4 linked regions of the Elephas maximus indicus genome follow. The protein of the gene in region 4 purifies or fractionates together with the protein of the main gene of each other region. This does not show direct contact. Links are inferred from orthologs where the notes say so. Each region holds a gene or a part of one and is shown on either strand. Other genes may lie near its edges. The genes, in order: HIC1, FOXO3, BRINP1 and SIRT1.

Region 1 (6,842 bases), on a different chromosome or scaffold from region 4:
GTGACGTCACATGATGGCCCACGGTGGCGTCACACCCCGCGAGACCACTGCGGTGCTGTCACCCTCGCATCCTTGGGAGCTGGACCCGGGGAGGGGCCCAGGGCGCAGTTGGGGCTGTGCGTGGGGAGTGGCAGGGGGTAGAAGAATAGGGGAACCCAGTAGTCTTGAAGAGCTTTGGTGGAGAAGGCTGGGCCTGGGAGGGGATGCCCAACGGGGTTCTAGGTACCACTTAGGAGCTGGCGACCTAAAGAAAGCAGAGAAGTTGAGGAGCTTTGGTTCAGAGGGGTCTCAGGGGGTGGAGAGGCAGTGACCTCTTCCTGTAGGAGTTAGGGTTCTTGGAGGTCATTATTGGGAGAAGGGCCCATGCCATGTGGGGCAGAGTTCCTCTGGAGGGATGGTGGTGGTGAATGGTCCTGGTCCAGCCTAGCTCCATCGCTAAAGGAAGGCTCTAAAAGAAGGAAGAGGAGTGTGTTCAGAGAGAGAGGAACTGGACTAGGGTGGGGAGAGGCAGCAGATACTGGTCAGGCCAGAGCAGGTGGATCTGGGACGGGAAGGAATGGCCTAAGCACAGGAAGAGCAAAGTCCACAGGACCCAGAGGGGGCCCTGACGCTGCAGCTGCCCTGGGGGCAGGGCTGTGAGACCCTCCCATACAGATGCAATGACAGCTTGAGGTAGTGAATTTACTTGGGGTGAACCGAAGCACGTTCAACCAAGAAAGTGCTGAAAGACAAAGATGTAGGGACAGCGGACCCTGGGGTAGGTCCCAGTGGACTCCACTGCACAAAAAGACATAGGAGGATGAAGGGCTCCTTGCCAAGAAAAGATTAAAACAGAGAGGGGGTCGGAGAGTCCCTGCATAGCCTTGGGATCTGGCCTCCTAGAGTCCCCATTTGTTGCCGCTAGCTTTTGTCCCAGCAGCTCTCTTCTCCAGGAACGCCTTTCCACCTGCTGGGAGAACTCCTATTCATCCTTCAAAGCCTAGCTCTAAGAGCACTTATTCTGAAGAGCCTTCCCGCCTCCCTCCAACACTCCAAACAGTTCCATCTCAGTCCACAGCACGTTCCCTGGATGAGGTATCTGGGTTCATCTCCCGCAGAGGCTGGGAGCTCTGGAACCTACTGTTTTCATCCTTGGGGTCTATTTCCCAAGTGAGGACATTGTGAGGAGATGGAGGAGAGGACAGGGATGAGTCCAGCTGGTCGGAAACAGGGTGAAGGGTGGCCTCAGGACTCGGCGGGCGTCAGGTGGACCTGCGAGGACCAAGAGCTGCCCGACTGGCAGGCACTAAAGCCGTGAAGCCGCCTGTGGAAGGAATGGAGACTCTGGGGGGCGCCCGAGACCTTGGTGTCTGTTTGGAATTTCGAGTGGCAGCGCCAGTGGCCCCTAGCTAGGTGACTCAGCCACTACTTGTGGCGGGGGCCTGGGGGCCGCAGCCGAGGACTATGCGGGGGGCGGCAAATGCGGACCCCGCCAGCCTAGCGGCCGAGCGCTGTTGCTAAGCTCTTCGAGGCCTCGGAGAGACGCGATCTGGGCGAATCTCATCGGTTACTATGGTAACGCTGCGCCCCAGCCTCTCAAGCTCGGCCGCTGGGGGAGGCGCAGCCAATCAAAAGCGGCGGGCGTTCTCGGGGACCCCCCCTCCCCCCGCGTGTGGGCGGGGGTCAGGAGGTGCAGGGAGGGGGCGGAGCGTGGGCCGGGGAGATTCGGCGCTCGCAATAAGCCGGGTGCAGCTGCCGGGCCGCTCGGGGACACTTCCGGAGTAGTCGAGCTAGCGCCCGCAGGCCACTGCGGTGTCCCCTCCGTCCCAGAAGGGGCGTCACCTGCACGAACGGGACCTCCACGCGTAGTGCAGGACCTCAGGCCCTCCTGTCACTTTTCTCCCGGCTCCGTGGGTTGGAAAAGAGGTCGTCCAAGCAGGGTCCCTCAGAATGGCTCACGCGAGAATCTGGGGGCGGGGGCCACTCCTGAAGGACCCCAAGAGACGCTGTCCCGCCATTCCCAGCTGAGTATCCTGGGGCTCCCCTGGAGACCCGCGGGCTGTTTGGGTAACACCTCTGCCCAGATTCACGGAAGGCCCTATGCAGCAACCCCTGGAGTATCTCAAGCAGGAATCCAGACTCTGGGAGGGGGCGGGTGTGTCTGTGCATAGATAAACGCCCCGCGGGTGTCAATGTCTGAAGAGGTTCTGGGTGCGAAAGGGTTTATACTGTGGCTGAGTGTGGGCGTTTTGGGGTGTCCAAGTGGACAGTCTCATCCAGCAATGTCTAAGGAGCGTCCTTAGGATCAGACCCCCTTAGGATTTCCGTAACTCCTCTCCCACCACCCAATGTCATCAGAGTCCCCTCCTTGCGGGCGGGAGTTTTCCAAATTGGTGCCGTATGGTAATACAGAACTATGTACACGGGAGCGATGTACCCTAGTCCTTCTGAGTTCAAAACCCCGGGATCTGTGGGCCTCCTAGGGTCGGGTCTGTGTCCCTAGGTGGGCTGGGAGCGTGGACTTGCAGGTAGGCCCCCCCTCCCCAGAGGCGTAGCGAGGGTAACCAGTAGCCAGGAGCAGTCTCTAAGCTTGCGCCCCCCACCCCCACCCCGCGCCGGCTTCCTCCTCCGGGGTCGGGGGTGATTCGCCGGCAGGCCTCGTCTGGCGCCCCCTAGGACTTGCGCCCGGGGGCAAATACATCCCTCTAACCCCGCTTCGCTAAGCCTCTGTCCCTCCCCCGCCCAGCTCGGTATCCGAGAGCCTACAGCCCAGGTGAGCCGCAGGGAGGTAGAGGTTGTGCTCGGCAGATCCTCAAGAGGCCGCCAGGTGGCGCCATGGCCGCAGCAGCGCCTACCGGCCCGGGCCGCTCCAGATAAGAGTGTGCGGAAAGCGCAGCGGGGCTGAGACGCGACCAGGACGCGGGGAGGACGGACCAGCAGGACAAACCGACCGGGGGCCCGGCGGGCGGAGCGCAGCGCAGCGCAGCCACGTCCCCCCTGGATCCGCCGGCAGCCGGGCCCGGGGCTTCAGACATGCCCCCCAGGTGGGTCCCTGGGCTGGGGTCCGGGCGGGACGGGGAACCGGGGACAGCCCGGTCCCCAAGCGCTGGCCGCCTCGGGGCGCATCCTCCGCAGGAGCCCCATCGCGGCTGGCGTTCTGGGCTCCGGATGTCGCCCCTAGAGGACTCAGGACCACCAGTCGCTCCTCCGCTCCGGGTTCACGGCGGGGTCAGCGGCCCGGGGCCGGCTCTGCCCGCACATGGGCTGGAGAGGCTAGGGGAAGGGAAGGGGAGCTGGCGGGCGGGGCTGGCAGGGGCGCTGCCCTGGCACAGCTCGGCGCCTGGCAGTGGGGCGGGTGGGGCGCCAGCGAGGAGCTGCCACCACCGCGGGGAGGGAAGCCCGGCCAGGCTGCGGGCGCAGGTAACGGGCCGCCAGGCCCTGCGGGGCAGGCGGGGAACAGGGGTGGGCCGGCGGGCGAACGGGTAGGGGAGCTCAGGGCTCGGTCGAGCCGCGCGGCTAGGGCGGCCGCCGGAATTGGGGGCCGAAAAGAAAAGCCGGGAGCCGAGGGACTGGGGCTGGCGGGCTACTCCCGCCGTGTTTGAAGTTGGGAAACTTTTCCCCAAGTTTGGGGCGGTGGAGTTCCCGGGGAGAAGGGGCCGAGGGGAGTTGGGGAGGGAGGCCCCGGGCCCGCGAATGCAGAGCAGAGGACGAGGCCAGGGCCGTGATGCGGGTGGGGCGCAGGCCGGGGTCAGGGCCGCAGCCGGCTGCGCGCCGTGCCCGCCCGGGGCGCTGCCCCCTCCCTCCCTTGGGAGCTGCGTGGCTCCCCCCTCCCCCCCACCTGCTTCCTGCCTCAGCCTCCTGCCCCGATATAACGCCCTCCCCGCGCCGGGGCCCGGCCTTCGCGCTCTGCCCGCCACGGCAGCCGCTGCCTCCGCTCCCCGCGCCCGGCCGCTGCCCGGGCCCATCCAAGGCCTGACAGCCCCGGGTCAGGGTGGCGCCACGGCGGGCACCGCACTCCCCTGCTCTGGATCACTTCCCCCAAATGGGGCAACTTCTCCCGAGGCGGGAGGCGCTTCCTACTCAGCTCCCTTTCTCCCCACTTGGGCAAACTTCTCGGCCCTGAATGACTTTTCCTGAAGCGGACATTTTCCTCAAATCGGGTAACTGTCTCTGAAAGGGTCACTTCGTTCCCAACAGTCTTCTCCTCGGAAGCACCCAGCACCCAGCTCGTGCCCTGTGGCGTCTGGGCCTGGGGCGCGCCGGCCAGCCTGGCCTTTCTCAACCTGTGGCAGCTCCGTCTTTTGGCTCGGCCTGTCGGCCCAGGCTCCCACTCCCAGAGGCCGCTGATCCTCCGCCAGTGCCCAGGCTGCGGTGCTCGATGCCCCAGCCCAACTGAGGGGAAGGGGAAGTGGAGGGGAGTATCGCAGGTCTGGGTAGAGGCGGCCAGGGCGCAGCACGGCTCTGACCCGGCTGGTGTGTGTCCCTGCAGGAGATTGTGCTGGGCAGACGATGCTGGACACGATGGAGGCGCCGGGCCACTCGAGGCAGCTGCTACTGCAGCTCAACAACCAGCGCACCAAGGGCTTCTTGTGCGACGTGATCATCGTGGTGCAGAACGCCCTCTTCCGCGCGCACAAGAACGTGCTGGCGGCCAGCAGCGCCTACCTCAAGTCCCTGGTGGTGCATGACAACCTGCTCAACCTGGACCACGACATGGTGAGCCCAGCCGTGTTCCGCCTGGTGCTGGACTTCATCTACACCGGCCGCCTGACGGATGGCGCTGAGGCAGCGGCGGCCGCGGCCGTGGCCCCAGGGACTGAGCCGAGCCTGGGTGCCGTGCTGGCTGCAGCCAGCTACCTGCAGATCCCCGACCTCGTGGCGCTGTGCAAGAAGCGCCTCAAGCGTCACGGCAAGTACTGCCACCTGCGGGGCGGCGGCGGCGGCGGCGGCGGCTACGCGCCTTACGGACGGCCGGGCCGGGGCCTGCGCGCCGCCACGCCAGTCATCCAGGCCTGCTACTCGTCCCCAGCCGGGCCTCCGCCGCCCCCCGCCGCCGAGCCGCCGTCAGGCCCTGAGGCTGCGGTGAACACGCACTGCGCAGAGCTGTACGCTTCAGGCCCCGGCCCGGCCGCCGCGCTCTGCGCCCCCGAGCGTCGTTGCTCCCCGCTCTGCGGCCTGGACCTGTCCAAGAAGAGTCCGCCGGGCTCTGCGATCCCCGAGAGGCCGTCGGGCGAGCGCGAGCTGCCCCCGCGCCCAGACAGCCCTCCTGGTGCCGGCCCCGCCGCCTACAAGGAGCCACCTCTTGCCCTGCCGCCGCTGCCACCGCTGCCCTTCCAGAAGCTGGAGGAGGCTGCACCCCCTCCGGACCCGTTCCGTAGCAGCAGCGGCAGCCCGGGACCCGAGCCTCCCCCCGGCCGCCCCGACGGGCCCAGCCTCCTCTATCGCTGGATGAAGCACGAGCCGGGCCTGGGCAGTTACGGCGACGAGCTGGTCCGGGGACGGGGCTCGCCGGGAGAGCGCTGTGAGGACCGCGGTGGGGATGCTGCCGTCTCGCCCGGGGGGCCCCCGCTCGGCCTAGCGCCGCCGCCGCGCTATCCGGGAAGCCTGGACGGGCCAGGCGCAGGCGGCGACGGCGACGATTACAAGAGCAGCAGCGAAGAGACGGGCAGCAGTGAGGACCCCAGCCCTCCCGGCGGCCACCTCGAGGGCTACCCATGCCCGCACTTGGCGTATGGCGAGCCGGAGAGCTTCGGTGACAACCTGTACGTGTGCATCCCATGCGGCAAGGGCTTCCCCAGCTCGGAGCAGCTTAATGCGCACGTGGAGGCGCACGTGGAGGAGGAGGAGGCGCTGTATGGCCGGGCCGAGGCGGCTGAGGTGGCTGCCGGGGCCGCCGGCCTAGGGCCCCCTTTTGGAGGCAGCGGGGACAAAGTCGCTGGGACTCCGGGCGGTCTGGGCGAGCTGCTGCGGCCGTACCGCTGCGCGTCGTGCGACAAGAGTTATAAGGATCCGGCTACGCTGCGGCAGCACGAGAAGACGCACTGGCTGACCCGGCCATATCCGTGCACTATCTGCGGGAAGAAGTTCACGCAGCGCGGGACCATGACGCGCCACATGCGCAGCCATCTGGGCCTCAAGCCTTTCGCGTGCGACGCGTGCGGCATGCGCTTCACGCGCCAGTACCGCCTCACCGAGCACATGCGCATTCATTCGGGCGAGAAGCCCTACGAGTGCCAGGTGTGCGGCGGCAAGTTCGCACAGCAACGCAACCTCATCAGCCACATGAAGATGCACGCCGTAGGTGGCGCGGCGGGAGCAGCGGGGGCGCTGGCAGGCCTGGGGGGGCTGCCCGGAGTCCCAGGCCCCGATGGCAAGGGCAAGCTGGATTTTCCTGAGGGCGTCTTTGCTGTGGCTCGCCTCACCGCTGAACAGCTGAGCCTGAAGCAGCAGGACAAGGCGGCCGCGGCCGAGCTGCTGGCGCAGACTACGCACTTCCTGCACGACCCCAAGGTGGCGCTCGAGAGCCTCTACCCGCTGGCCAAGTTCACTGCCGAGCTGGGCCTCAGCCCGGACAAGGCGGCGGAGGTGCTGAGCCAGGGCGCGCACCTGGCCGCCGGACCCGACGGCCGGACCATCGACCGTTTCTCTCCCACCTAGGGCGCCCTGCGCCGAACCGCCTTTGTTCCGCCGCCGCTGGGCCCGGTTCGCGCCCCCAGGGAGCTGCGGCGGAGGCGGCGGCGGCAGCGAGCAGGCACACCGCGCCCCAAACAGCTGTAGTAGCAGCGGCAGCGTCGCCCGCAGAGGCGGCGGCCCCACCTCTCTGCGGCCTCACCTGCCCTCACTGCTTTGTGCCTTAGCCCGGG
Region 2 (7,073 bases), on a different chromosome or scaffold from region 4:
TATTCTGTAAATGGACACTCATCGTGTTTATAGGGAAAAACGAATGGCAGAGAGCCCAGCCAGTGTAAACACATTCTTTTTAGTCTGCAGGCCTACATTCTATTGGCAAAGGATTACTTAAATTTGAAGATAAAGCGTGGGTTTCTTTTAGTGTATTCCTAAGTATTTAAAACAAGCAACTGAAAGTTCTTTAGATTTTATGCTGTATCACGGTGCAAAACCATGGGAACCACGGGCCATCTAGCCTCCTGGTTCTTGCAAATCTAAATAAAGACACCAGGTAATATGTTGTGAACCCACTAAGCCCCAGAGCTCGGCCACCTTAAGTTGAAAGTTGGGGTCACACATCACTGTCCATATTGCCAGGCTGGAAACCAAATGCAAACCGCGGGCTTCTCAGGGAAGCATGCCCACAAGGTGAGTGGAGCTGCAGGCACACCAGCAACTTCTGGGTACAGTTAAAGCCCTATCCCACGGGTTTCCCCTTGTCTGAAGACCGTTTTATGTAGCAGGAACGCATTCTGCCGTGGGCAGAGCCGTATGCCTACGAGATGGGTACATGTGGACTGGGGGTAGTCGGAGCTAGGGAGCGAGGGCACAAACAACGCTGAGTCCACCTCGGCACCGAAGTGTGTGCATCAAGATGTAAGCGTACGAGCGAGATCTGCTCCGGAACCGATGGGCCGCGATGCCCGGCCTGGCGCGGCATCCGGAACGAAGAAAAGCAGGCGGCTTTGATTCCACAATACAAAAGCAGTAGCCGAGCCCGAACGCAGAAAGACAGCTTGGCGCGGTGGAAAGACGTCGTCTCCGTCGCTGCCGGAGCAGCACGCGAAACTCGGCGTCAGGCTCCCTAACCAACCCAGGCCTCCAGCTGCGCTGGAAGCGCTGAGTGGGTACAGCTTTGCGGCCCGGCGAGCTGGCCCCGCCGCGTCCCCCAATGAGCGCGGGCGGACCCACGAGCCAGCCACTTTACTGAGCAGCCAGCGCAACATTCCATTTAAAAATAACACCCACGTGCGCTGGTAAACAAGCGCGCGCGGCTAAAGGCGCTGCGCGCCCCGGGCGAGGCAGCGCAGCGCGCGCCCGCCCTCCTCCCGCACGTGTCGGCTGGCTCCGCCCGCGCCGTCGCGGCGCTGCTCAGTTTCCACCCCCTCCGTGGGCCGCGTACCGCCCCTCCCCGGACGCTCCGGGGCCCTAGCGTCCCCCGGACTTCTAGGCGCACACAGCGGAGTGCTCTCCGAACTTTTCTTTCCCGGCACCTACTCACCGCGGCGGGACCCGTTGCCCCAGGTTTTCTCCCTCCCCTCAGTCCCTCGTCCTCTCACTTTCCCCCTTTTAACCCAGGCTTCATCAGCACGCCGAGGATTGGCTTCTGGCTCGCCCTCTTTTTCTCCTCTCCTCCCGTCCTTCCTCCCTTCCTTAGAATTTTACTCGATTGTTTATTATTTGTTGGGGGGCGGGGGCGGAGAGGCGGAGAGGCTCTGGGGCCTGGAGACTGCTGGCCGCGGCCAGTCAGCGCGCTGTATAGCTTGACGGGTAAGCGGCCCAGCGAATGGCGGCGCGGCGCAGAGCTCCGGGTCACGCGCGTGTGGATACAATGACATCATCTGTTTGTACGCGTCGAACTAGCTTGGTGCAGTGGCGGAGCCGCGCGTCACTTGACTGACAGGCCCTGCGCAAAGCCCGGAGCCCGGAGTTGTCCCGATGGGCGGACTCTTGTGTACGCATGATTGGCCCTTCTGTGTGTCGAGTTCTTGTGGAGTCCTAGTCTCTCAAATAATCTCCAGTGATTTAGAAGGATTTTATATAAGGAAAAAAGATATTTGTGAACCTGAGCGGATAGACTTTTTGTGTGCATGTTGCATTTAGTGCGTTCTTAATAATGCACAAATGAACGATTTGGGCACGGGACGTAGGGTAAGGTCTTGTGAAGATGTTCTTCTAAATCTAAAGGATTATCTTTTTAAGAAGTAAAAACAAATGCATAGTAGCTGTTTTGACGTCATTCAAAAATTAAAATCAAATTATTTCCCATTCGCTATTGTTCAGAATCTGCTCTTGCGTTCAGAAATGGGGAATAATTTGCTTTTCTTTCTGAGTTAATTCTACGTCCCCCTGTTTGTCATGAAATCTATTAAAAGTGAAAAACGATTGTGGCGGAAAGTCCAAGGTCATACTCCTTGAAAACCTTCTGGTTTCTGATCAAATCTGAGGGCGTCAAGTTTATCGAAGTCCTGTAGGCACTAACATCTGCGCTTGCCAGTATTTCCACGTCGAGGTAATCCTGGCCATCTGCGTTTAACATCTCGGGTATTACCTGGTGTCCCGTTCTAATGGGGAACCGGATACCAGGATGGGCCCAGAGCCCGGAGAGTGGGCATGCATTCCGGGGACCCCCGGTGCCAGGCGCCCTGGCCCGAGCTTAGGAGACCACGCGACTGCGGTCTGTGGAGGGTTTAGGGTTCTTTTCGCTTTGTTGTCCTTACGGCTCCGGAGAGGGAGCTAGAGTCCCGCAGAGATCGCTGCGGGAGCCCGCCGTTCCCCGCCCCGCGGCGCGCGCCGCGACACCCACGCCCGCAGCCCCACGGGGCCAGGCCGCGCGGGCGCGCGCGCGCGCGAACACACACACGCTACACACACACACACACACACACACGCGCACACCAGCACACCCCGGCCCGCCGCCCCAGCCCTCCCCCTGGGCGGGGATCCGCCCGCCCGCCGTCAGCCTAGGTTGAGGCGCCCTGCGTGTGTCTATAACTTTGTGCTGCTGCCGCGGCCGCCCTGCTCGTTGGAAAGGAGGAGGAGGAATGTGGAAGGCGGCGGCGGGCAGGCTGACAGGCGGCTCCTCAGGCGGGTTGCGGCGGCGGCCGGAACGTCTCCCCTTCGCCGAGGCTGCGCGCCTCCTCCTCGCTGTGCCCCGAGCCCGCGCGGGATTGTGCGTCCTCCCGCCTTGTCCCTGAAGGGAAGGAACCGAGGTAGGCGCCGGAGCAGTGCAACGGGGCGGCCGCCTTCCCGATGACTCCGGATCTGCTTCCGAGCTGGGCCAGGCGCTTCCCTTTTCCCTCTCTGTGACTCGGTGTGTGCAGCTCCCCTCTCCCGCTAGTCTTTTTAAAGGACTTGAGTGAAGGGAGAAAAACTGTCAAGATGGCAGCAGCGGGAGCAAGGAGGTGATGAACAGGCTGGTCCGGGTTTTCTCGAAGCGCTTCCCGACCTGTTGGAAGATTTATGCTCCGATTTGCTCCCTCCTTCCTCTTTCCTTGGGGGGAGAGGGGCGGAGGACACGGCGTCCACGGGAAAATAAACCACAAAACCTCGGAATGGCCGTTCCTGCCCTGCTCGACCCATTGCGAACACACGCCAAGCTTCTTGTCCCCCCCCCTTTTTTTTTCCTGAAGTAACAAGGGCCCGCTTGCGCTCGAACCCCCATCCGCCCTCCCGGCCTGCGGGCGAAGGGGGAGAAAGGAGCTGCCCGCGCTGTCCCTGGGCTTAGGTCCCTCCGCTGGGTGTGGGATATTAGAGGGATGGCGGAGGCGGCAGGGCTGGGGAAGGGGAGAAGAGCCGAAGACGCCACAGACTTTGGCGGCGCCACCGCGGGAGGCACTTGAGCGGGCCCGAGCGAAACATAAACAAACGCACGCCCGCCCCGGCCCGGGCTCCGACCGCGGCTCGGCTGCGCCAGCTCCCGCCGCTGCCCGCTTTAAAGGCGCGGCCCGCGCCCCTCCCCCGCGCCCGCCCCCCCGTCTTCCCCGCCCCGCCACCTAGCCCTGGAGAGACCTGCGGATCGGGCGGCGGGGGAGGGGGCTGCCCCGTGCGCGCCCGTCGATTCGCTCACGTCTCTTCCGCGGCCAGACCAGGGGGCGGTGTCTGCTGCGCCAGGTTCTTGGGACGCAGGTCTCCAGGTCTGCCTGCTGCTGGGAGGCGGGCGCGGTGCCGTCCGGTAGGCGGCGGCGGGCGAGGACTCACGGAGGACTCGGCTCCGGCCCGAGATAACCAGTTCTCTTCTCTTCTCTAGTGCTTCCCCAGGCGGCGGCGGCGGCGGCGGCAGCGGCGGCGGCGCCCGGAGCCCGAGCCTTCGCGGCGCCCCGGTCCCTCCCCCGCCGCACCCCGCCCCGGCGAAAGAAGAGAGCGCGAGAGCCCGAGCCGCGGGCGGGCGGGCGGCGAAGATGGCAGAGGCACCGGCCTCCCCGACCCTGCTTTCGCCGCTGGAAGTGGAGCTGGACCCTGAGTTCGAGCCCCAGAGCCGGCCGCGCTCCTGTACGTGGCCCTTGCAGAGGCCGGAGCTCCAGGCGAGCCCGGCCAAGCCCTCGGGGGAGGCGGCCGCCGATTCCATGATCCCCGAGGAGGACGACGATGAAGACGAGGAGGACGGCGGCGGTGGGGCCGGCTCGGCCATGGCGATCGGCGGCGGCGAGAGCGGCACGCTGGGCTCGGGGCTGCTTCTTGAGGACCCGGCTAGGCTGCTGGCTCCCGGAGGGCAGGACCCTGGGTCCGGGCAAGCCCCCGCGGCGGGCGCGCTGAGCGGGGGGATGCAGACGCCGCTGCAGCCTCAGCAGCCGCTGCCACCGCCGCAGCCGGGGGCGGCTGGGGGCTCCGGGCAACCGAGGAAATGCTCGTCGCGCCGGAACGCTTGGGGGAACCTGTCCTACGCTGATCTGATCACCCGCGCCATCGAGAGCTCTCCGGACAAGCGGCTCACCCTGTCCCAGATCTACGAGTGGATGGTGCGCTGCGTGCCCTACTTCAAGGATAAGGGCGATAGCAACAGCTCGGCGGGTTGGAAGGTGAGTACCCACCCGGAGCGGGCTGCTGGACCCGCAGGGCGTCCTGCGCCGCACGAGACTAGCCTCAGGTTCGTCGGAGCGCGCCTCTGGGCGCCAGGGAAAAGGGTTGGCAGTGGGAGCCTCCGCTGCGAGGCTTTGGGGGTTGCTGTGTGACTTCTGGAGGAGAGATACCGGGGGACGGCCGCGGAGGAAGGGAAGGAGGCAACCGGGGAAGCCTTGGGCATGGCCGACCAGGTGAGAAGGGGGCCTGGGACGCCGGCGAGTGTAGGACAGACTGACTGGAGTGCGTTTGCTGCATTCCGGGACAGCGCAGAGGAGGTAAGTCCGCGCCAACTTTGGAATGGAGCTAATCGGAGGTGGGTGCTGCTCCGACGCTGCCGTTGGTGTGTAGGGGCGTGGGGGAGCGTATGGGGACCTGTCCGTGGAGGAGCGGTTGGATGTGTGGTTTCCAGTGGGCCGTAGGAGCATGGTGCGTTGTCAGTGGCTGCCTGAGAACCTTTGGGTCGAAGTTCGGGGTTTATGGGTGTTATTTCCACAGGCACATCGATCCCGTTAAAAAAAGCAACGATTCAAATCTTTTCCTGACCAGGCATCGTTTCTTTGCTTGGGTTGACACTTCAGCAAGCCTGTCCCCGGGTAGGCTCCCAAATGTTCTGGGGCTTGGAAAGGGCCAGCCCTGCCACTTCAGCGCAAATTGGCCGCACCTGCCTCTCCTGCTGAGGCCTGGATGCTGGCGCTGTGTGTGTTATGTGCCCAGGTGTGGAGGACCTTGGCCTGTGCTTCGCCTAGGCCGGAGGAGGGGAGGGAGGTTTGGTGTCAGGACTGGGCGGTCATGGCTTCTGCCTATAAGTGAACCTGAACAGAGACTCTCTTGTTCCTTTTCAGCCTCTTGGGGCACCGGACACGTGGTAGGGAGAGAGGTGTGGAAAGACCTATGATGTAATGACTTCCTGCAGTTGGGCATCCAAAGAGATTAACTCCTTTGCCCCTGCTGGGCTGCTGATATCCAGCTTCTTTGCTCTTCCTGGGCACCCCACCCTTCTTGGCCCCTTCCCCCAAGATATGAATGTGTTGCTACCAGGCAAAAGAGACTTTTGTATAGTTAGAGATAGATGTCGCTTATTAGGTGCTTCTATTTGTAATATTATGTCTTTTTTATGTTTTAATAAAGAGGTAGTTGCTTCCTTTTTCTGGCTTTCCTTTCATTATCTTTGGGGAGTCCTGTATCTTCCTGGGTTCCAGTAGGTGTCTAAAATAAGAACAGTTTAACCTTGGTAGAAAAGTGACTTGAAATTCTTGAGAGGAGACTATGAAAAAGCTTAAGAATTCGGTGCACTAAAGGTTTGAATTTAGTTTTAGAAAAACCTTGCAAAGTGCCTTTTTTTTTTTTTTATGGCTAGTATTGGAGAGGCCTTGTTTACATACCTTAAAAGCTAAATGTGTGTTTTATATTATTTCACAAATCTGCTTTATTTCTTTTAACAGAAATTGATATGTTATGAATCTTATATTCGATCTCATTTTATTGCTTTACAAAGAAATGCCTGTTTTGTGATATGAAGTTCGTTTACAGAAAGGGTGAGAGTTCCATTTCAAAGCAGTGCTAATGAGATACCTGTTAAAGCTGGATTTCCCAGTGGATGGCAGGGATTAATCTCAATGTACAATGTCTGGATGGGGCGAGTTTACATGATCTCAGAAGATGAATCTGGAGGTTTGGAATACGTATTTTTCAGATTTTCCACCCTTGAAATTTAGTCCTGCATGTTTTGAATTTGGCACAGAGACTGTGTTAGTTAAAAGTTTAGATAACTTTTAACTTGGTTAAAAAGTTAATGTAGAAAGGGTTGCCACCTTTTCTATGATTTTTAAGATTATGAAGGTAATTTAATTTTTCAAATAACATTTCTTACTATTGTGTTTAAGATAATAATAGTTCAATAGTGTTTGATTTTTTAGACGTTTTACGAGAGAAAGCGGTATTAGCAAAGTAGCCATTAATTTGGACTTGACTCGTTATATTTTCACATAGCTGGCAGGATTTGCAAGAGATTTGGGGCTAGTCATAAACTTTGTGATTTTATGTCATAACCATTTTTCTTTTTTGTCTCATGGTTTTATTTTTCCTTCCTTTCCTTCTCATCTCTCTTTAAAACCTTAGAAAGTATTGTCAATTGAAATTCTCAGGGCTCGGTATGTTTAATAGAAGACACACTTGATTATTTTTATTTTAAAATTTTATACCAGTTTATTTTGTCAGTGTCATGTGGCAACTAATCCTTGAAG
Region 3 (7,980 bases), on a different chromosome or scaffold from region 4:
GAGTTAGGGGTCTCCACCTTCATGTGCGTGATAGCTTTATACGAGGGAACACAATTTGGTGCGGAGGTTGCGATTTTCTTTTGGAGAATACAGCAAGTAGGAAAGGCTTCTGGGTCTACACTGGTATATGTGTGTTTGAGTGCACGTATACATGTGTCGTTGTTCATTCTCCTGTGCTTGTAATATGTATAAACAGGTAAGGCCGAGATTCTAATTAATATAAAGAAATTAATTTGCCTGAAGTCTTTGCATAGGTGGATGGGTGCACACTTTGCTTTCTGGAAAACCTGCCTTAATAAAGAGCTCAGATAAAGCTCAGAGCATTTCCTGGGTTCCATCTACCAGTTGTAGTCAGTATTGGGTCCCTGCCTGGATGCGATGCTCTGAAGGCATTGGTGAAAGAATGCCTGTTCAGTGTGTGTGTGTGTGTGTGTGTGTGTGTGTGTGTGTACTGTGTGTGTATCTAATGAGGAGAGGGGTGGAAGCACTGGACCCTTTCTCTTCACGGCCACATTTCCAGGTGGAGAAGCTTTGAAACACATCTCTGAAATGAGAAGTTGTGTGAGGTAAGACAAGTGATTGTCTTGGGTGGAAGTGTGGTGGTGGGGTCCGAGCTAGTAGCAACATATAGACCCTGGGCAGAGTGGAGGAGTGGAAAGGACATTGACCTGGCTGTCAGGCAACCTAGGTTCTAGCCCTAGGCATGCCACCAACTCACTAGAGAATACTAGGGAATTTTTATCCCCTCTCTGGGCCCCAGAGTCCTGCCTGTCTGCTCTTTAATATTCCTTCCAGCTTCAATTGTCTATGAATTGAAAAAGAGAGAAAACGAAAACAGCTCCCAACATGGGGCCTCCTTCTCTGCTCCTACCCAAAATGAGCTAGGGAGCTCTGCTCTGACATGAGTTTCCAGAAGCAGGTTCCCCGTGGCTGTCTGAAGGGCTTCAGCCTGAAGTATCAGCCTCTGGCCAGAGACCTGTGTGTCTGCAAGCGAACGCAGGTAGCACCACCACCCACTCGTCAGGGCAGATTCCTGCAAACACATGTTTGCTTTTATCTCTCCCCAGAAGATATATATATATACACACACACACACACAGATTTTGAAAGCCAAGTATATTTTTACCTTTTTCCCCCAAATGGCCTTTTCACTGGTCTTTTCAAGCTCAGGCAGACAAGAGGCTGAGCCTCAACATCTCAGCCCTTGTCCTCCCAGCACCTCGCTGCCTGAGAGCAGAAAGGCTGTCTCTTACCTTGGGAAAGTAACAGCTGCCGAGTCTGGAAGCCATGCTAACAGCAGTAAAACTCAGCATTTCTGCTGAGTAGGACAAGCCTTTAAGTGGCAGCCGGGAATCAAATCAATGGCTGGCCACAAGTCTAAGCCCAAGATAGGTCCTAGCCAGGATGGCCAAGGGACTTACCTATACAGCTTCCTAGTAGGTGGAGAAAAGGGGGCCTTGGTCTGAACTGTCCTCATGACTATGAGATTCTGCCTGCAGCCCCTGTGCCCTTGGCAGTGTTTTAGAGCCAAGCAAGAGATGGGAAGTGCATCCTGACAGCAGTTTAAGTCAAATTACTGACATCTTCTGCCATGGGTTCCCTACTCATAACCCCTTCCCAAACTGGAGGTCTCCCTCAAAACACATACACATACACACACACACACAAATATATGCCACCTCTCTGCCTGCCTTCTCCCAGTATCCTCCTAAGTCCAGTGGAACCATGGTTGGGGTGGGGGTTGGGGGGCACAGTTTAGGAAGGGATTATCTGGGGTGTCTCAAGCCTGCCTGAAATGGGGAAAGGAAGGTGGAATCTGTCTTAGGGAAGTGCCCCATCCATCTCCTCCCATAATACCCAGAGCTGCCCTCAAATGAAATTTCCTTTTGAGACTCTGGGCAACTACAATGGATGGGCAAGTCCCCTAGGACTCTTTCCTTTCCCTTGAGGGGGATCATGCAAACTTGTCCAGATCTTCCCAAAAAGCCCCAGGAGCAGGAGGTGCTGTCATGCTGCTGCTATTACAAACCGGAGGCAGGGCAGATTCTATCTCAGTCCTGCCAAGGCCCAGATAAGGACTCCACTGCCGACTTCTCCCTTTCTCTGTTACCCACTACCCACTGTCTAAATTCCCATTAGAATCCTGGAGTCTGACCAGTGTGGAATTTAAAGCGACAGCATCTCATATGCCTCAGGGTTTGGCCATTTCTCTTTCATATTAAACCACATTAAACGATGGGTTCAAGTGTAGCAGGACTCCATCCTTTGGGGGAATTTTCCTTCAAGGGGACCAACATTGGGCTAAATAAGGTGTCATTCCTATCCCCCAAATCCTCCCCAAGTCCAGAGCCCCTTGAGGAAGTCCACAGCGGGTTTCCCGATGGCTACGTGATCCTATAGTAAGGATCCCAGGCCGCGTAAGCCGAAGAGACCTAATTAAAAAGGCACACAAGCGCACATATGCAAACACATACATACGTACAAACGCGCACACACACTCACGCTGTAAGTAGGTTATAGGACCTTTCTCCTCATCCCTTCTCTTTCACACACACACACACACCCCACAAACACAGCCACCAAACGCAAACGAGGCCGCACAAGCAAACACACACTAGCACCACACCAAGTTCCCACCAGGCACACACGTCGGGAGAGCGCGGGGCGGGGGGGTGGCGGGGACCACACAGGCCACTTACTAAAACCCGCATTTAACCCTTTGCGTCCCAGAGAAAAGAGACAACCCCCCACCCCGGAAACTGAGAGGACTTGGAGGCGGCGGGGAGGGGGGGAGCAGAGCGGACTAGGGTGCCTGGAGGGGGAGGGGCTGGGGCGGGCGGGGGCTCCCCGAATGCGGTCCAGGGCCGGCTCCAAGGGCAGCTGGGCTGCCGGGCGCTGAGCCCGGCGCCGCCTTACCTGGAGTCAATGTCCGTCTTTGGCGGAGAGCTGCGGGCAGACGCTTTTTATTCGGCTCGGTGGGAAGTTGGGAGAGCCCTGCGTCCAGCTCGCATACCGGGGACGGCGCGGGGACTGCAGGCGCGGGGGTACCTGGCTCCTAGCAGCCTGGCTCATACTCAGCCGTAAAGTCCCCTTCGCTGGCCCCGAGGACAGGCATGAATGCCGGCTCCGGAAGGCGGTCACTACTCCCTCTGCCTCCCGGCTCTCTCGTTCTGGCTCGCTCGCTCTCGCCCTCGCGCTCGTTCGCTCGCCTGCGCTCTCCTCCTCCCCCCGCGCCAGATCAGTTCGCAGCGGTGGGGACCCGGAGCGAGGCGGCTGGCGAATGGAGAGGGAAGTCCAAGTGCGCCGCGGTCTCCGGGAGGGGAGCAGCGGAGGCCGGGCTAGGCGGGGGGAGGGACTTACCCGGCGACGGGCGAAAATGAATGGGGGAGCGGCGGCCGGGGGCGGGGAGGGAGGAGCCGAGCGCCGGGGTTTATTCTGAGGAGTGTTTTGTACATCTTTAGGCGAAGGAGGAGAAGAGAGAGGAGGGGAGAAAGGAGGCTGTCTTGGAGGAGAGGGACGCCCTGGGTGGGCTGAGGCTGAGCCATTGGGGAGTCTCGTAGGTCCGGGGATGGGGTGGCGTGTCTCCGCGTATGTGCACCTAAAGGGGCTGTGTATGTGCGCAAACCCGAAATCGTAGTGGCCTTAGGCGTGTCTGCAGCTGTGTGTGTCGCGAGCCATCTGAATGTTTCTGGGTATGCGGGTACTTGTGTGGCTGTGTATCTGAGTGTGATTTTTGTCTTGGGAAGTGCCTGTGTGGGCCCGTTTGTATATGTGTGTCTCAGTATTTGATACTGTTTCTCTGCGTGTGTAGGCGCGAGCCCACGTAACCTCCTCGAGTTAAGCAAGTGCTTCTCTTTACGTGGGCAGAACGTAGGAGTGAGAAGCTGAGGGCACGCAAAGTTCTCTGGAGACCACCAGAGGCAGGGAAGAGGCAGGGCAAGGGGGCTCAGCCATGAGTACGAAGAGTCAAGGAGTACGGATTCAATGTGAAATACTGCCCGAGGGTGCTGACAGGGAGCCTCTTCCTGAATCGGGAAAGAAGGCCCACACAGGACCTGAAGTCCCACAGACTGCATATCCTGTATATGTGCTTACTGTTTTCTTTTTTGTTTAAACCAAATCAGCAATGCAGACCCCTAGTCCCTTGAAGTTTAGGCAAAAGTGAAACTGCCAGATGCAAGGGCAGGGAGGGATATGGAAAAAAATGATGGGAACTTTAAAGAAAGGCAGGTTGAGTAACAGTGCTGGCTCCAGAGGATTTGGAATCCTGTAGCTATGTGATCTTGCCCCTGGTAGCGGTGACCCTGGTGGCGCAGTGGTTAAGAACTCAGCTGTTAACCAAAATGTTGGCAGTTTGAATCCACCAGGCATTATGGGGCAATTCTGCTCTGTCTTACAGGGTCACTATGAGTCAGAATCCACTGAAGGGCAACGGGTTTGTTTGTTTGCTTGCTTTTTAACCCTCAATTCCTCATCCGTATGATACGAAAATACAACTACCTATCTAATGGGGTTGATCTGAGATTTAAGTGAGTTAATGCATGTAAAAGCACTTAGAATACTCTCTGGCACTTAGTAAACGCTCGATACGTGTTCTGTTATGATGGCTGTTGTTATTAATGCTATTATTATCCAAAGGATTATAGGAAAGAGAAGACGTGATAACCAAAGGACTTAAAAAGATCTAGGAGGCAGTGAACTAATTGGAGAAGAGGAGTCTTGAAACCAAACAGAGAGAGAGAGAGAGAGAAAGTGCCTGTGTCTCAAGAGTCCTTGGATGAAGAGAGGGGGAAGAGGAGAAATGGGGGCCAGCAGCCAGTTCTCTTCTGAATTCCTCTCTGCTTATCCTCTCCACTTTGATGCAAATGAGAGGGAATCAGCACCACGGACAGCTCTCCAGCCTGGGCGGATGGAACTTTCTCCTGTTTTGCCTGGGCCATTTTCTCCTCTCAGCTCCTGGCCCAGGTTTCAGATCCTAGGCAGTAGTTCCTGGGGCAGTTCTAACTTTGATTCCAGCCACGAAGAAACACACTCACCACATACATTGATTCTCCCATCAATTTCAATATGAAGCTCTAAGGTTGTTATTTCCTATTTCTGCCTCCCTCCTTTCTTCTTTCCTCTTCCTCTCTGTCTCTCTCTACCCCCTCCCTTTCTTCATTCCTCCCTCCCTTTCTTTCTATTTCTCCACCATCTCCCAGCTCAGACCTGCCTCCTTGGACAGTAGTAGGCAACAACAGCCATGATAGGAATGCAGTTCTGAAAATAGCCTGAAACCACCTAGTTAGAAAGCTTCAGAGAAGGACCAAGGTACAGACTGATTCATCTGAGCTCCTCTCTCTTAACCTCCCAATATGGGTTAGGGTCCAGATACCTTAGAAAGAGAAGACTTAATACTGTAAAACAGTTTCTTATCTTCCTCTCCCCTACCTCACACAGTCAATATTTCCCTCAGGAAACATAGAACTCTTCCCAACTCCAAATGTTAAAGAGAAAGAGAAAAAGGAGAGAATTTTTTTAACTTCCACCGTGCCTGAACATTTAAGCTTTCCCTATATTGCATATTATTATTTGTACAATGCTACGAGATATAAGATGGATAATACTATACCATTTTTACATAATAGGAAATTGGAGCTTGGAAAACTTGAGTAGCATGCCAAGGTACAGCTAGTAGGTGACGGAGTCAGGAATTCCATACCTGACACTGATTCTTTACTGTGTCCTCTGGGCATATTAGAGAAAGCCCGGAGTGATTGCAAGATCATGGAATTTAGTAGGATCACAGTGCCCAATCCTAAATATTAACTTGAGTAGCTGGAGCCATTGCATTCTCTGCACCAATGGAGTATTTAGCAGCTCTTGTCCCTGGAGGAGGAGATGAAGGATTTGCGTAGACAGATTTAAGGCTCACCCGAGTCTTATGGTTTCTGAGTTTTGACTAAAACTCCAACCTTTCCAGGTCTTAGTTCATTTGCATTTGGCTCTGTTTAGCTTCCCTGTTTCTATGTAGAAAGGCTAAGAGGGCCATTAAAAAAGTCTCCAAAGACTCCTTGGTCATCAGAAAAGTTCTCAGTGTGAAGTATTCCTAATGACTTATGGAGAAAGCAATTCGTACCATATGGATAACATTTCTGCAGAAATACACACGGGTGGGAAAAGGTTTAGAGGCCAAAAATATATTTCTTTTTTTTTTTTTTTTTTCTTCTTTGCCAAAGAAAGAACATTTAAGGCAGCTTGAGATATGTGAGAAATGTCTTGTTCTTTCTTTGGGGTGGGTGTTGGTGAGCAGCTGTTTGCTATTTCCACTGAATTTACCAAGAGCTTGCCTGGGAAGGAGTTGCCAATGGCTTAAGGTAGACTTAAGAAAGAACTTCCTGTCTATAGACAGATACTAGAACAGTACCTTTTTTCAAGTGCATTTAATGAGGCAACTGGTTGTTTCCTTTATAGTCTCCACAACAGGATGAGTTTGATAAACATTAGATCGACATTTTAGGATCACAGACTCTTTTGAGAACCTTATGATTACTATAGACCTCTCTCTAGTGAAAAAGGTATTTACAAAAATGCCCACAATATACTGTATGGAATTCCATTGAATCCCTGCATGCCAGTATTATTTATGAGTCTCTCCCTAGACCTCAGATTTGGAAACTTTAGAGTAGATAACCTTCTGGTCTCCAACCTTACCTTGGATTTTATAGGTTGTTTCATTTAGACTTGAGCTTAAGAAATTGGAAAAGGGAAGCCAATAGGGAAATCCATAAGCAGGTAAGTAGCCCAGTTCTAGAAACACACAAGAAATACAGATACATGCTCAGTGATGTGATGGAGGGGCCATCCCCTCCTCTTTAAATAAAGATAAGATTCACCCTGTTTGTGCAGAACTCTGAGTTACCTGCTGCTGCCTCAAAGGCTTAAGTTTACCACTCCTGTCAAATCTCAAAAAAAAAAGAAAAGAAAAAACCACTGCCATCAACTCAATTCTGACTCATAGCAACTCTACAGGACAGAGTAGAACTGCCCAGTAGGGTTTCCAAGGCTGTAAATCTTTATAGAAGCAGACTGCCATATCTTTCTCCCTCAGAGTAGCTAGTGAATTCGAACCACCAACTTTCAGTTAGCAGCCCACCGCTTAACTGCTGTGCCACCCAGGCCCCTCTGTCAAATCTCAAAGGAATTAAGATGCCTTAATCTGGGGTGCTTTGGGTTCAGAACAAGCTAAACAGCTGCAGAAAAAAAGCCCGCATTTATTGAGTGCCTACCAAATGTCAGATGATGTGAAAAATTCTGAGATGAATGTTTTTCCTGGTCTCTGACTTCTAGGAGACTGGAGTTCATTGCATAGCCAGACTTGTGCCTAAATAATCACAGGCACCGTAGAATGTAAACGTCATGAACAGGGCCTGTAGGAAATGTTGCGAAAGCTGACAGGAGGAAAAACTTGTCTCTATGTGATATGTAACGTTTGGTACTTAATAAGAGCTCTTAAAAAAAAAAATCAAGTTGAATTAAAAGAACTAATATTTATTGTTGAAATCTCTGGGGTAAGCAAACGGTTAAGTGCTTGACTACTAGCCAAAAGGTTCGAGGTTCAAGAACGTGCCTCAGAAGGCTTAGTGATATGCTTTGGAAAGTTCACAGCCTTGAAAACCTTAACAAGACATTTGACTCTGCACACATGGGGTCGCCATGAGTTGGAATTGACTTAAGAGCAACTAAGGAAAATAACAGTATTTATTGGGTACTTATTATGAGTGAGCAGCATTCAACCCTTCAATGTCTCTCATCTAGGTTATGAGTATTTCCTAAATGAACAAAAACGCCTTTTCGTTTTTCCCTTCCACCTCCTCACCTACTCCCCTATTCTCCACTCCCAACTCGCCCTACCCTCACTCCATCCCAACCTTGCAAGGGCCATACGCTTAGAACTCAGTTCTCATCCATCACTCTACTTATCAAAAACCTGGAAGGACT
Region 4 (7,840 bases):
CCAGGGTCTAGCCTCCGCCCTGTAGTTGCAAATATTGGTTACTCCTTTAATTAAAAAAAAAAAAAAAAACCTCATTTTAATATGTCCAATTTTAACAAGAAATATTTATAAATGTCTCTTCAACTCACCTGTCTTAGTATCTAGTGCTGTTATAACAGAAACACCAGAAGTAGACGGCTTTAACAAACAAATTTATTCTCTCATAGTTTAGTAAGTTAGAAATCTGAATTCCGGGCGTCAGCTCTAGGGGAAGGCTTTCTCTCTGTCGGATCTGGAGGAAGGTCTTTCTCATCAATCTTCCCCTGGTCTAGGAGCTTCTCAGAGCAGGGACCCCAGATCCAAAGGACACACTCTGCTCCTGGCACTACTTTCTTGGTGGTATGAGGTCTCCCTCTTCTTTGCTCCCTTTTTTCTTTTATATATCAAAAGAGATCGACTCAAGATACAACCTAATCTTATAGATTGAATCCTGCTTCATTAACATAACTGCTTCTAATCCTGCCTCATTAACAGTATAGAGGTAGGATTTATAACCCATAGGAAAATCAGATGACAAAATGGTGGACAATCACATAATACTGGGAATCAGGGCTTAGCCAAATATACACACAATTTTAGGGGATATGATTCAATCCATAACACCTCCCATCCATACACACTCTCTCCATTAAGGGATGTTAAAATGTTAGCATTTTGATATGTAACTTTCCATATTTTTCCCAAGCCTATGCAGTCATATAAAAAAAAAATAATAATAATTTTTTTTGTTTTTTTTATGCAGTCATATTTGCTTATAGGTTTTTTTTTTTTAAATAAGAAAAGGACATAAAAAGGGATATTTATTAAATAATAAAAAGACCATAATATACCATTACTGTGCATCTTGCTTTTGTCACCCATAGTGTATCATAAATATTCCTCAACAGCAGTTTACAAATGTTACAAATATTTTTAATGGTTGCATACTATTCCACAGTATGTGTGCACTGGAACTCGATCAAGTTTCCTATGGATAGGTGTCTGGATTGTTTTTTGACTTTTATTCCAGCAACAACAATGCCACAATAAACATTTATATCCTTACATATTCATAATTTTTTTTCCTTAAGATAAATATTTTCCACATGGGATTTTGGATTGAAATGTACGTGTGTATTTATAATATTTTCAGATTACTTTCCAACACTATAACAGCAATTTATGAGCATGTTTTCCCATATCCTGGTTAGCAGCAGACAGTAATAATTTTTTTTTCTATTTGAGGAGGTGAAAAATCATACCCCATTGTTTTAATTGCATACTCCCGACTACTAATAGGGTTGAGCATATTTTACATTTGTATGTAGTCAAATGTATCTGTCTAGTTATTTTAATGGTTCCTGTCTTGCTTATGTTCTTGCTTGACCCAAAGCTACATAAATATTCTCCTAAAATGTCTTACGATATTTTTATTGTCGTATTTTTTTCATTTAGACCTTCAACCCATCTGGAATTTATTTTTTAATATAGTGTTAGGTAGGGATCTACATTCGTATTCTTCCAGATTGATAATCTGTTTTTCCAATACCATTTTATTCATACACAAAGAGTTGGCACCAACTACCCTACTAACCGTAATCAGTCAAGACTAATATCAAAGCTACAAGGCCAATTTACCAGTTTACAGAAAAAGGACTGCCAAGTCAGCCAGAATATTAATGTGGGCTCTCTGCACATTTTCTCCTCAGTGGAAAATACTATATGTAAAGTCCTTCCCTGGAGAAGGACATCATGCTTGGTAAAGTAGAGAGCCAGCAAAAAAAGGAAGACCCTCAACAAGATGGATTGACACAGTGGCTGCAACAGTGGGCTCAAGCATAACAGTGATTGTGAGGATGGTGCAGGACTGGGCAGTGTTTCATTCTGTTGTACACAGGGTTGTCGTGAGTCGGAACCAACTTGAAAGCACCTAACAACAACAATAAAGCCAAATTACTACTGAAGGCTGCTCAGGCGTCTTAGGGTTAGAGTCGAATAATCTTAATAACTAGTGTCAGAAGTCTATGACAGCCCAATGCATCTATCTCTGCCTTGTCAACTAAGGTGCCAGATCTTATGTCATCAGTTTTACTAACTCTCTTACCTGAACTGTGCTGGGGACGAACTGAGAAGTTCCTTGTCTTGCTTCTTGCTTCTTTTTCTAGTATCCATGTTGACCACCACCCTTCATTCAGTAATTCTTTTTCTTTATGGGAATCTTCATTTTGACTCTTTATTCATTTTTGTATGCTTTTCCTCATTCATCCAACAAAAATATGTGCCAGTTACTGTCCTAGAGAGTTGATAATCGAGAGGTAAACCAGATGAACAAAATTCCTGCTGTAATTGGGGAAGACAGTAAATAACACATATAAAGAAAAGAAAAAAGTTTAATAAGGTAGGATAATATACTCTATAACGTATGAAGAGGTAGTAGGGCACAATGGTTAAGTGCTCGACTGCTAACTGAAAGGTTGGCTGTTCGAACCCACTCAGGAACACCTCAGGAGAAAGGCCTGGTGATTTGTTTCTATAAAGATTACATCCAGGAAAATCCTATGCAGGAGTTCTGCTCTGTCACATGGGGTCACTGGGGATTGGAATTGACTCGATGGCATCCAACAACATTCTAGGGACAGAAAACCAAAACCAAATCAAACCTAGTGCCATCAATTCAATTCCAACTCATAGCGAACCTATAGGACAGGGTAGAACTGCTCCATAGAGTATCCAAGGAGTGCCTAGTGGATTTGAACTGCCAGCCTTTTGGTTAGCAGTCGTAGCACTTAACCACTACACCACCAGAGTTTCCTCTAGGGACAGAGGCACAGGGAAAAGTGTAACAAATATGTGGCAGATATGTATTTAAGAAGTGCCTCCAGAATTATTTTATACATACATAAACAAACAGGTAAATACAGTCTCCCTCCCACAGTCCACTCCCTTCATACACTATACTGTATACACTGTTCTGTATCTTGCACTGTGCAGCTTAGAGATCATTCCACATGAGAACTTAGAGTTGTTCCTCATTTTTTTAATGCTTCTTATGAAAGCTCAATTTAGAGTACACTAATGATAAAAAATAATTACAAGAAGGGCAAGGCCAGATTTACGCGAGAAGCTGAAAAACTGAATCTAAACTTGCAGGCTATAGGGATTAGGGAATGACCTGAGTTTTAGGCAAGTTTTAGTTCTCAACTATGGGTAGGTCAGGCTCTAGTTGGGAGTTGTTTTTTCTCATCATACAATTCTGTTTCTTGCTTATCCCTCTGGCACGCATAACTCATCTCTGGCCTTTCAGCACACTAGCCATCATATTGATCACAAAGCATTTCTTGTAATTCATAAACACTAGCAAGTGTCTTTGATGGATGATAAATACAAATAAATGAATGAATAACATATGTCCATAAACTTACAAATATCTTTTTCAAAATAAAATGGTGAATTTTGTTTCTATTTCGATGAGAAAACAATTCTCAACATTTTACATGTTATATCCTACGTGGTTGAGAATCAATTTATTAAATACTTTGTAGGGTACCACAGACGAAGTGGGGAGTGAACAGGGCTAAGGATGCCAGCTAGGAAGGGTGAGGTGCTTACACAGTTAGAAACTGGAGTTTAAGATGGAAGGAAAGACAACAGGATTTGGTCACTGGTTAGAGTGGACTGAAGAAAAACTTAAAAATGATTTCAAGGTTTCAAAAATGTGAGGTTATCATTTTAAAAAAGTGAAATGACCAGTTGAAAGGGGAGATTCTCAGGTTAATTTGAAATACTAAGACTTTTGGATTTAGATGGAATCTTGGCCTCTGCTGCTGACGTCAAAATCTAACTATGAGGGACGTCCACCAAGTTTGAAAACGTGGTCAAGCCTTCCTTCTCAGACCACTGTTAAAAGGTAAAAAGCCTGAAGTCTAAAGATTGGGACTCTGACCCTTGAATTAAAATTGTAATTGTTAATTCCGATTCTCTGGTTCTAAATGAGTATCTTGAGGTCTTCCATGCCTTGCCATGACTACCTTGCAATAAACTGAGTTTATGCACGATAATCTTAAGCATTTCTTCATTCACCTTTAAAATTAAAGCTCACAAGGCAAATGTCCAGAAGGACACATGCCTTTACGGATTTGACAATCTACACGACTCCACAAGTGATTGGGGGACAGGGGGACAACTGACAAAGGAGGGAGCCAAACCAAAAAACCCGTTGCCGTCCAGTCCAGTGGATTCCCGACTCATCGGGACCGGAGGAGAACACGAACCCAAAGAGGAACTGTCAGAACAGTGTGAGGGAGCTTCTGTGTCCTGCTGCTGCTACTCTTACCCAAAAACAAAACAAACGACTATCCATAGTATCTCAGGGAGGAAAGCTTTAGGCAGCTTCATTCCTTCTCCTATCTCAGGAACCAGATTTTAACTCAGCTAAATGAGACAGGACTAGGACAGCCAAGGTGTGCACTTCCAGCATTGGCGTAAACGCGCAGGGGAAGCAACCCTGGAGCCATCGGACCGCATTGCCTTCGGAAGGCCGTTTGAAAGAGGAGCTGAGAAGGTGGCGAAGGGGCGAGCTCGGCCGCACCACGCGCCTGCCGCCGAGAGGCGGGGCCGCGGGCTGCCGGGCTGCGTCGCTCCGGGCCCACGCCGAGCCGGGAAGGCGGACGCACGGCCCCGGCCTCCGCCCGCCACGTGACCAGCCGTGTTGTGGTCCGGCCCGCGTGGGTGGCGGGAGCTGGCGGGAGGGCGGGGGCGGCGAGGGGGCGGGTCACGTGACGGGGTTTAAATCTCCCGCAGCCGGAGCCGCGGGGGCGCCAGTGCCGCGCGCCGAGCGGGAGGAGAGCAGGCGAGGAGGGAGGGCCAGAGAGGCAGTTGGAAGATGGCGGACGAGGCGGCGCTCGCCCTTCAGCCCGGCAGCTCCCCCTCGGCGGCGGCGGCGGCGGCGGCCGAAAAGGAGGCCGTGTCGCCGCCCGCCGGAGAGCCGCTCCGGAAGAGGCCGCGAAGAGACGGCCCCGGCCTCGGCCGGAGCCCGGGAGAGCCCGGCGGAGCGGCCCCGGAGCGTGAGGTTCCGGCGGCGGCCGGGGGCTGCTCTGCGGCGCCGCCGTGGCGGGAGGCGGCGGCGGCGGGCGAGGAGCGGGAGGCCCAGGCGGCGGCCGTGGCGGCTCCGGCGACCGGAGAAGACAATGGGCTAGGCCTGCAGGGCCTATCCCGGGAGCCGCCACCGGCCGACGACTTCGACGACGACGACGACGACGACGGCGAGGAGGAGGAGGAGGAGGAGGAGGCAGCGGCGGCGGCGATTGGGTACCGAGGTGCGCAAGGGCGCGGGCCGCCGGGACTGCGCATCCCCTCCTCCCTCCTGCGGGGCCCCTCCTGGCGTGGGTTCGCGGGGTCTCTGGGGCCGGGCCGGGGCGGGGGGCGCCTCTGCGGCGGAGTCTCCCTCCCCAGCTCGCTTTTCCGCTCAGCTGCGCAGCCCCAGGGCAGCCGGCCCGGCTGCGGGAGCGATCCGCAGGCTCGCGGGCTCGCTGGCTGCCTCCTCCCTCCCGCTCCCCTCTGTCTGCGGCTCGCCAGGCGGCCCCGTGCTTTGCGCAGCCGCTGGGCCGGGAAACTCTTGCAATTGGTTTTAAAATAAGTTTTCTTCCCCCTCCTACTGTTTTTGCATACTGCTTTTGTTAAAGACTTTTGCTTTTCGTCCGCCTTCCCCAGCACACTTAAGTCTGCAACTTTTGCCTGTCCCATTGATCGACCTTTGCCATTGCCTTTGCAACCGGACACCTGTTCAGTTTACCTTTTTTTTTTTCAGGGTCTGTATTATTAAACTTAAAGTTTTACGTTTTAAAGAGGAAAGCTGTTTCTAAAGGTATAGCATGTAAAATATAAAGAACATGGCTGTTGCTAAAGACGTTACTCGAGTGGTGCAGTTAATAATGGGCATGGAAAGTAATAGTACTTTGAGTTTTTTTTTTATAAATATTGTTTTTTCTGTAATGATCTAATAATGATTTTTAGAGGAGGTATAATCCCTGTGTGTGTGTGTAATCCTGACATGAAAATTGGCATTTTTGGCACCCTGAAGCAGATATGTTAGGTGTATAAATCGTGTCATCCATGAGGGTTTCAATATTTTTGATCTGAGGAGTTTCTGTTTTGGATGGTGGTTCATTTGTATCAATATTTTAATTAAGTCCAGTGGCTCATATGTAAATTAACGTGTGCATTAAGGACTAGATTAGTAAAACAACCCCCGATATCAAGGAATTTACAGTTTAGCAGGGGAAACACAATACACAGATGTCTTTCTACGTTTGGTGTTATTGAAAGGGTTAGAAACGCAAATTGCAGCAGTTAACATTTAAAGTTTTTTGTAGTAAATTTCTATTTGATAATTTTTCATAAACGCTGTTATTTGTGATTGACAATTTAACTAGATCACTGCTTTTTTTGTTCTGTTTTTTCTTAAGTGGGCTCAATTTATTTCTAGATTTTGATGGACAAACTTAGATTCTGGGTAGCAGCCCTGAAGATGAGGGTACTTCTCCTTTGAAAGGTGTGGGCGGACCTGATAGGCATTCTTTACACACATGGTATGAATGTTTAAGTGCTGCGTTAAATGAACGTCATTGCCTCATAGCCATTATAGGTCTTAATACATTTTTGGTGCAGGCTGTTTCAGCACCCTTCAGTTACTTTTGCTTCTTTTGCAGATAACCTTCTATTCAGTGATGAAATTATCACCAATGGCTTTCATTCTTGTGAAAGTGATGAGGACGATAGAGCCTCACATGCAAGCTCTAGCGACTGGACCCCAAGGCCACGGATAGGTATGATTTCAAAGCTCTGCAGCTTTAGAGACAAAATGCTTTTTATTGTCTTGTATTTTCATTTTATGAGAACTAAAAATTTAATTCTCTGCCCCCTTATGCCCTCATGATGAGGTTCTTGGGAGCTTGGTGAGATTTAATGTCAGCTTAGGGACAGCTTGAAGGTCCTTGGATGGTGCACATGGTTTGTGCTGAGCTACTGACTGAAAGGTACCCAGCAGCTCCAAGGGAGAAAGACTTGGTGATCTGCTTCCCTAAAGATTGCAGCCAAGAAAACCCTATGGGGCTCAGTTCCACTCTAATACATAGGGTCGCCATGAGTCAGGATTGGGCTAGAGACAGTCTAGGGAAAGTTAGTGATTTTGTTTTTGTTACTGAACAGCTCAGGCCCCTGGAAGCTGGCCTTTTTGCTGTTTCTCACACAGCCAGGTCCTTCTCACTCCTCAGGCCCTTTGCATTTGTGTCTTCTGCCTGGAATGTGCTTTCTCCAGGTAAATAGAGGGTCTTGCTTGCTCCCTTACTTCTTTTTAGCTTTTGCTCAGAAAGCATATCATGAGTGAGGCAGACCCTGACCACACTATCTAAAATTGACACTCCTCCATCTCCTACTGCCCAGCCAATCCCCTTCATATCATTTCTTTAATTTTTTTCTTCTTAAAGACTTCTTGAGAAACTGTGTGTCTTACTTGTTTGTCTTTTTTATTACCTGTTTACTGTGCTAGAATATAAGCTGCACGGGGACAGGGATTTTTGACTGACTTGTATGCTACTATTTTGTTAAGTTCCAGGCCTAGAAAAGTACCTGGTACATAGTATGTGTTCAAATATTTATTAAATAGGTGAATGAAATGGGAAAGTATTTTGAAGTCGAGAATGTTAACAGATTTTTATAATAAAGACATAATATACCCCGTCTTGAAAGTGGTCTTTTTCTTAATGTGCTCTCCTTCTTTCAAAAGTGGCTTGACTAAACACAGCGATGATTAGTTCCTTTTTAG

The links.
Region 1: the proteins of SIRT1 (region 4) and HIC1 purify together in Homo sapiens (affinity purification with western blotting; 4 studies listed by BioGRID and IntAct, with this or other methods). This does not show direct contact. The link is inferred for Elephas maximus indicus from reciprocal best matches to the Homo sapiens genes SIRT1 and HIC1.
Region 2: the proteins of SIRT1 (region 4) and FOXO3 purify together in Homo sapiens (affinity purification with western blotting; 4 studies listed by BioGRID and IntAct, with this or other methods). This does not show direct contact. The link is inferred for Elephas maximus indicus from reciprocal best matches to the Homo sapiens genes SIRT1 and FOXO3.
Region 3: the proteins of SIRT1 (region 4) and BRINP1 purify together in Homo sapiens (affinity purification with western blotting; 6 studies listed by BioGRID and IntAct, with this or other methods). This does not show direct contact. The link is inferred for Elephas maximus indicus from reciprocal best matches to the Homo sapiens genes SIRT1 and BRINP1.

Annotation. Positions count from the first base shown.
Region 1 is NC_064837.1:19,699,650-19,706,491, reverse strand, and holds HIC1 (hypermethylated in cancer 1 protein), read left to right. Parts: upstream 1-3,955; 5' UTR 3,956-4,102; coding exon 4,103-4,139; intron 4,140-4,468; coding exon 4,469-6,636; 3' UTR 6,637-6,837; downstream 6,838-6,842. Other genes in the region: collagen alpha-1(I) chain-like, read left to right, coding at 1,435-2,046, 2,788-3,573, 3,834-3,955. UniProt on the Homo sapiens protein: Transcriptional repressor. Recognizes and binds to the consensus sequence '5-[CG]NG[CG]GGGCA[CA]CC-3'. May act as a tumor suppressor. Involved in development of head, face, limbs and ventral body wall.
Region 2 is NC_064819.1:174,355,934-174,363,006, forward strand, and holds the start of FOXO3 (forkhead box protein O3), read left to right. Parts: upstream 1-4,060; 5' UTR 4,061-4,169; coding exon 4,170-4,787; intron 4,788-7,073. UniProt on the Homo sapiens protein: Transcriptional activator that recognizes and binds to the DNA sequence 5'-[AG]TAAA[TC]A-3' and regulates different processes, such as apoptosis and autophagy.
Region 3 is NC_064827.1:69,193,990-69,201,969, forward strand, and holds the start of BRINP1 (BMP/retinoic acid-inducible neural-specific protein 1), read right to left. Parts: upstream 3,001-7,980; 5' UTR 2,917-3,000; intron 1-2,916. UniProt on the Homo sapiens protein: Plays a role in neurogenesis and brain development. May suppress cell cycle progression in postmitotic neurons by inhibiting G1/S transition.
Region 4 is NC_064834.1:19,952,008-19,959,847, reverse strand, and holds the start of SIRT1 (NAD-dependent protein deacetylase sirtuin-1), read left to right. Parts: upstream 1-4,823; 5' UTR 4,824-4,900; coding exon 4,901-5,333; intron 5,334-6,725; coding exon 6,726-6,842; intron 6,843-7,840. UniProt on the Homo sapiens protein: NAD-dependent protein deacetylase that links transcriptional regulation directly to intracellular energetics and participates in the coordination of several separated cellular functions such as cell cycle, response to DNA damage, metabolism, apoptosis and autophagy.